Callithrix jacchus: one gene and its partner. The protein of the gene in region 1 purifies or fractionates together with the protein of each later gene. This does not show direct contact. Links are inferred from orthologs where the notes say so. Each region holds a gene or a part of one and is shown on either strand. Other genes may lie near its edges.

Evidence for each region. Proteins that work in one complex are often made in the same cells at the same time.
Region 2: the proteins of PRKAA1 (region 1) and PARS2 purify together in Homo sapiens (affinity purification with mass spectrometry; 3 studies listed by BioGRID and IntAct, with this or other methods). This does not show direct contact. The link is inferred for Callithrix jacchus from reciprocal best matches to the Homo sapiens genes PRKAA1 and PARS2.

What each region holds. Positions count from the first base shown.
Region 1 is NC_133503.1:164,809,526-164,813,175, forward strand, and holds part of PRKAA1 (5'-AMP-activated protein kinase catalytic subunit alpha-1), read left to right. Parts: intron 1-42; coding exon 43-267; intron 268-3,171; coding exon 3,172-3,650. UniProt on the Homo sapiens protein: Catalytic subunit of AMP-activated protein kinase (AMPK), an energy sensor protein kinase that plays a key role in regulating cellular energy metabolism.
Region 2 is NC_133508.1:91,922,988-91,926,709, reverse strand, and holds the start of PARS2 (putative proline--tRNA ligase, mitochondrial), read left to right. Parts: upstream 1-786; 5' UTR 787-1,462; intron 1,463-3,722. UniProt on the Homo sapiens protein: Mitochondrial aminoacyl-tRNA synthetase that catalyzes the specific attachment of the proline amino acid (aa) to the homologous transfer RNA (tRNA), further participating in protein synthesis.

The DNA of each region.
Region 1 (3,650 bases):
TAAAATGATTCTTTAATCCAATTGTTATATTTCCTGTTGCAGATTGTATGCAGGCCCAGAGGTAGATATATGGAGCAGTGGGGTTATTCTCTATGCTTTATTATGTGGAACCCTTCCATTTGATGATGACCATGTGCCAACTCTTTTTAAGAAGATATGTGATGGGATCTTCTATACCCCTCAATATTTAAATCCTTCTGTGATTAGCCTTTTGAAACATATGCTGCAGGTGGATCCCATGAAGAGGGCCACAATTAAAGATATCAGGTAATAAAGCAATTTGGAAGTTATCAGATCTGATAGTATCCATGATAAAAGTTAAGTGAAAAAACAAAGGTGCAGAACAGAAAATATAGTGTAATCCTGTTTTTATGTGAAAAAATAGAGTGTATAGACACATTTTATTTTGGTATTAAAAATACATAGTAAACTGATTACCTTAGGGAAGTAAGATTAGTAAGAGGGAGGGGCTTTCACTTTTTACTTACACATTTTGTTTTGAAATTACATATATGTAATATATTTAAAATATTATAATATTACATGTCAATATAATAGTGAACATTATATTACTTTTTAAATTAACAAGCTAATGAAAGCCTGGTGCAGTGGCTCACACCTGTAATCTGAGCACTTTGGAAGGCTGAGGGAGGAGGATCATGTGAGCTCAAGAGTTTGAGACCAGCCTGGATAACATAGTGAGGCCGTGTGTGTGTGTGTGTGTGTGTGTGTGTGTGTGTGTGTATATGTACACATCTTTTTATTTATTACTTTTTTTGACATAAGGTCTTGCTCTGTCACCCAGGCTGGAGTGCAGTGGTGTGATCATAGCTCATTGTAGCCTGTAACTGCTGGGCCAAGTGATCCTTCCATCCTAGCCTCCCTAGTAGCTGGGACTATGGCATCCACCACCATGCATAGCTGCCTTTTTTTTTTGTAGTGACAAGGTCTCTCTATTTTTGCCCAGGTTGATCTTGAACTCCTGGCCTCAAGTCCTCATACCTTTCCTCCCAGTGTTGGGATTACAGGTGTGAGCCAGTATGCCTGGTGTTAGGATTAATACTTTTCAGTAGTACATTTGTGGTTTGCTATTTGATTTCCTATCTCATGAATTATTGTATTTTTTCCTTTTTTTAATCCCAAGGAATGAGAAAATTTTAACTTAATTGACATATTTTTCCCAGTAGTATACATTCAATATATGCAAAATTCCTGTTTTGTAGGTAAAAGTCAGTATTACCAGTTTCATCTGGTTCAACCTACTATTTTAAATAAGACAAAAATGATGACAAATTTTCTTCTCAAATTTGGGTGAGCCATTTCTGATGAAGACTTAAACAATTTTACTGCAAGCTTTGTTTCTTCTTTTTTTTTTTCCGTATGGAAATTTTGCCCTCTTTGGTCTTTTTTTTAATTTACTTTATTCTTTTATTTTTTTTAATTGCATTTTAGGTTTTGGGGTACATGTGAAGAACATGCAAGATTGTTACATAGGTACACATGTGGCAGTATGATTTGCTGCCTTCCTCCCCTTCACCTATATCTGGCATTTCTCCCCCTGCTATCTCTCCCCAACTCCCCACCCCCCACTGTCCCTCCCCTATTTCCCCCCAACAGACCCCAGTGTGTAGTGCTCCCCTCCCTGTGTCCATGTGTTCTCATTGTTCAACACCCGCCTGTGAGTGAGAACATGCAGTGTTTGATTTTCTGCTCTTGTGTCAGTTTGCTGAGAATGATGGTTTCCAGGTTCATCCATGTCCCTACAAAGGACATGAACTCATCGTCATCTGATATGGATCTAGAAATAGTAAATAGGAAAGCAGCATGAGTGTAATGAAGAAGAAGGAAAGATTATATGTAGAACTTGAAGCTTGATTACTTTCCACTTAATACACATGTTTTAGACTAGCTAAAAAAAGAGACTATGCATGTCAGGGCATGATTTTACCACCAAAGGGAAAGGATACATCATTCTCTAAAATTTATATTTTAAAACTACCTAGGTAACAAATGTTTTCACTTGTGTTTTACCTATTTTCTTCCAATTAAAATGTAATACATGACAATTGAAAAAGACTTAGAAAAACATCAAAAAAATTACCTTTAATCCCATAACCCAGAAGATAACAATTGTTCTTTTGTTTTTTTTCCTCTCTGGATCCTTTTTTTTTTTTTAAGTTTAACATAATGTTTGACATAGTGCAGGTCAAACATATTCTTAAATATATGAAGTTAGGGAATTAGAATAGGAAATCATTCAGGGCATGGCCTTTCCAGTCACTTAGAACTGAGTTACAATTCTGGTTCTGTCACTTACTGTCTTTGTGATGTTGAGCATGTTCTTTGATTTTTTTTTTTAACCTCAGTTCCTTCATTTAAAACAAGGAGATACTATTATCTTCATATAATTGCTTTGAGAATAAGGGGAGACAACATATAGGAAGTGTTTAGCATAAAACTTAGCACACAGTAAGTACTCAATAGTTGTCTACTATTTTTCTTGTTATATTATTTGCACTTAACATTATATCAAAAGAGAATTATAATGAAGCTACTTAAGATATGTCATCTTTCTGAGCTGGAAATAAGCTGTTCTTTGTCATTGTCATTTGTCCCATACTTTTTCCCCCGTTGGTACATCAGTGCATGCTCCCTCTTTTTTTTTTTTTTTTTTTGAGTTGAAGTCTCGCTTTATTGCCCAGGATGGAGTGCAGTGAGTGGCGCAATCTTGGTTGGCTGCAAACTCCTGCTAGCCGGGTTCAAGTGATTCTCCTGCCTTAGCCTCCCGAGTAGCCGGGATTATAGACATGCACCACCATACCTGGCTAATTTTTGTATTTTTAGTCGAGACAAGGTTTCACTATGTTGACCAGGCTGCTCTTGAACCCCTGACCTCATGATCCACCCGCCTCGGCCTCCCAAAGTGGGATTACAGGCATGAGCCACCGTGCCTGGTACATTCTCCGTCTTAAAACTGGAGGAAAACTGGAGCATTTCCCTCAACATACACGATGAAGTGTGAGCAGAAGAGGAAACTTTCAGTGGAAAAAGTGATAATAATATAGTATGGGTATAAATATATATTAATTCATAATCTAAATTCCTCAAACTATTACTCTTAGTCTCTGCTCTATTCAGAATTCTTCTCCTGATCTTGCCATTCTCTCTCAGGGAACATGAATGGTTTAAACAGGACCTTCCAAAATATCTCTTTCCTGAGGATCCATCATATAGTTCAACCATGATTGATGATGAAGCCTTAAAAGAAGTATGTGAAAAGTTTGAATGCTCAGAAGAGGAAGTTCTCAGCTGTCTTTATAACAGAAATCACCAGGACCCTTTGGCAGTTGCTTACCATCTCATAATAGATAACAGGAGAATAATGAATGAAGCCAAAGATTTCTATTTGGCGACAAGCCCACCTGATTCTTTTCTTGATGATCACCACCTGACTCGTCCCCATCCTGAAAGAGTACCATTCTTGGTTGCTGAAACGCCAAGGGCACGCCATACCCTTGATGAATTAAATCCACAGAAATCCAAACACCAAGGTGTAAGGAAAGCAAAATGGCATTTAGGAATTAGAAGTCAAAGTCGACCAAATGATATTATGGCAGAAGTCTGTAGAGCAATTAAACAATTGGATTATG
Region 2 (3,722 bases), on another chromosome or scaffold:
ATTCTCCTTCCCTAGTTATTTTTTTCTTTATAGCCTTTAGCACCATCTGACTGACAGATTGTCCTTTAAATTTTGATATTTTATTCTCCAGGAACTTTTTACATCAATTTTGCTTTTTAAAAAAACAATTGTATTAAAATACTGTTTTTCTTGGTTACTGAGTTCTTTGCTCCCATTCCCTGCCCTGCTTAAATTTCACTGTATTGGTTTGTTGCCTGTGTCCTCTCTAGAACGTAAGCCACACTGATGCAGTGAATTTTGTCTATTTGGTTCTCCTCACTGTCCCCAGTGTCTACAGCAGCAGCTTGTACCTGGTAGCTACCGAAAAACTATTTTGTGAATGGAAATTTGAATTCGTGTCTTAAAGACTGTCTTGGGCACTGTAAAAAAGGTGTCTTTCTCCAACTGTTTCACAACGTTATATTACTTAAATGGAAAGCCCATAAAAATCATAGGATAGATTAGAAACCAATTGCCCAGTGTGTCACCATGGTTACAATGTCGCAAGCGGGTCTCCTGGAGGAGTGGGTGGGGCCTGGCAGTGGGCGGAAACATCACACTTAAATCATCATAGAGTTACACCTCCCAAATTCCTAGAGAATACTTCCGTCAGCTCCGGCCAATCAACGATCTTGGGGAAAGCCGGGTTCTCTCTCTTTGGCTAAACTTCCGGAAAACCTCTCACTCGTGTCTAGAGTGGGGCGGGGCCAGAACTCCCGTAACTCGCCCCCGTCCCCGCCCCCGTGAGCGCGACTTTGCGATTGGCGAGAAGGGCGGGAATTGCTCGTGGCGCAGGCGCGCTGTTCTGACGCGGCGGTGGTCTTGAGCGCGGCTTGGGCTGGGATTGCGGTAGGTGAACGTGGGTGACTGCCAGACATGAGAGACGGGTGCAGGCAGCTGAGTGAAGTGAGCACACAGTTCTGGGCGCGGAGACCTAGGACCCTGGTGTCCGTTTTCCCACGTGCATCCTGTCCTTGAGTTGGGGCGGGCCGAGAATCACATAAACTTGGATACTCCTCGTCTCCTGGTCTCTGTGTCCTCGGAGGGCAGCACTTACTGGTAGCACTTACTGGTCTCCCTCGGTCGTCGTGAGAGTCACGCGGTGTTCTCGAAGTGCTAGTTCTGGAAAGGCCCTGGACCACCCGCTGCCTGAGCCAGCCTTCCTGTTTTATGTTGGAGAAAACGGAGGTCCGGAGCGAAGTAACTGGACAGGGGTTACCGAGCGAGTGACGGCCGAGCTGGTTTTTAGAACTAGGCCTGGGGTTCCATTGCTGTTTAATGTAGCACAGTTCGTGATGGAAACTGTAGGATTTGGAGGCGAGGACCTTGCCTTCCACGTCTGACCCTGCACTTATTTGCTGTGTGGCTTGACACAAGTGACTTTATATCTCAGAGCCTCACTTTTCTGAGTTAGGCCTCATCATCATAATAGCAGCACTTTATGGCACTTAATATGTATCAGGTAACGTTGTAAACGCTTTCTGTACAGCTTTTCTGATTAGTCTGGGGGGCAATGGTGAGTCAAAGAATCTTTAAAAAGACCTGGTCTGGAAGGGCTGACAGTGTCCCGCACAGAAAAAATCCACTGAATGACTCAGAGGCTGTTTGCCAGAGCCTGAACTGCTACGTATGTTAGTCACTATATTGCTTTCTAGATACTCCTTGTGGATAACTGAAAAATTAAGATAATTCTACTTATTCTCCTGTTCATATAAGCTGAGGGGTCTGAGGACAGACATGGTGCAAGTGGGGGAAGAGGGCTTAAAGCTCTCATTTAAATTATCCAGATAATTATATCATTGTACCTGTTTACTTTGTTCTTAGTTTATTAATGTATTTGATCAACAAATAATAATGGGCTAAATAGTAGGCATTATGCTAGACTCTGAAATTTAAAGATGTATAAAACTTCATGAACTCGTAATTTCAGCAAGGAATAGAATATTAAACATCGACACTGACCTCCCCTGTTGGCCCCTATACACACACCCAGAAAGAAAAAAAAAGGTGTGAAACATTATTTGCTTCTAATCCCTGGCACACAACAGTTTCTCTAAAATATTTTTGGAGATGATTCTTGCACCGTGTACTAAAAAGAGGCGTGTGCAGTGGAGCACAGAGGAGGTGCTTTCTCTGTTTAGAGGGGTTGGAGAAAGTTTCTTGGAATAAGTGAACCTTGAATTCGAATTGGAGTTGCTGGGGGTTGGGGGAGGTCAGTCTGTTTCAAGAATGATGAGCAACTTGCTGGGGTAAAAAGCTGTAAGAGTTGTGTTGGGATCAAAGTATGAAGAGCTTTGGTGCCATTCTGACAAAATTATCATGAGAGCCAGCAATTAATGGATTGTAAGCAGGGGAGTGATTGGGTCAGCTGTCTTTTTAGTTGGAGACTCATATGGAGACTGGACTGACAGGGTCAAGAATCATTCAGTTCATTTATTGATAGAACATGTATTGAGGCTGGGCAGTGGCTCACACCTGTAATCTAAGAACTTTGGGAAGCTGGGGCAGGCGGATCACTTGAGGTCAGGAGTTCAAGACCGGCCTGGCCAATATGGTGAAACCTTGTCTCTACTAAAAATACAAAAATTATCCAGGTGTGAGGGCACACACCTGTAGTCCCAGCTATTCGGGAGGCTGAGGCAGGAGAATTGCTTGACCCTGGGAGGCGGAGGTTGCAGTGAGCCAAGACTGTGCCACTGCACCCAGCCTGGGTAACAGAGCGAGACTTCGTCTCAAAAAAAAAAAAAAAAAGTGGGCATGGCAAAGCCAGATCAGGGAGGGGGTAGTGCTGAGATGAGGCTCATGTGGGCTTCAGCCTTATTCTAAGGGTAGCAGGAGGCCATTTTAAGCAAGAAAAGCTGTTACCATCTATGCTTGGGAAGTCTCCCCTGTGGCTGCAGCATGGAGAATGGATAGAAGGAGGGCAGGAATGGAAGCCAGCGACCAGTGGGGAGGCTGTTGCAACCCTCCAGGTGAGAGATAAGGGTGGCCTGGACCTGGGTGGAGGCTGTGGAGGGAAGAGGGACAGATTGGACAGCAAGTGAAGAGGTAGGAATGAGAGAGCCAAGAGGGCTGTGAATGTGGGGCACAGGGAGGGGCAGAGCAGGTGAACCCCACTTTCTGCTTTGGACAAGGTGCAACTTTTGCTGCCATTCACAATGATAGGTAGTGCCAAAGGGGGAGTGGGTTTGGGGGAGGATGCTGAGTTCATTCTGGGCCTCGGAGTTTGAAATACCTGCATGGTGTATTCTCCGGGAGGCAGGTGGAGATTTTGAGTCAGCCCTCAGCCTGCAGGCTGTCCAGGGAGTGTGTGCTGTGAAGAGGGAAGAGACCTATGACATTTCAATGTTGGGGGGAGGGAGCGGGACAAGAGAGGGATGTGTAAAGAACAGGGTTCGCAAGAGACATCGCAACTAAACATCAGCTGCAGTCAACTCCAGGGCAAGGGATTACAGTTGATTTTCTTTTCTGTTTTTTCCCTTTGAGACAGAGTCTCACTGTGTTGCCCAGGCTAGAGTACAGTGGTGCAGTCTCAGCTCACTGCATCCTCCACCTTACAGGTTCAAGTGATTCTCCTGCCTCAGCCTCCCAAGTAGCTGGAATTACAGGCGTGTGCCACCATGCCCAGCTAATTTTTGTAATTTTGGTAGAGATGAGGTTTTGCCATGTTGGCCAGGCTGGTCTTGAACTTCTGACCTCATATGATCTGCCCACCTTGGGCT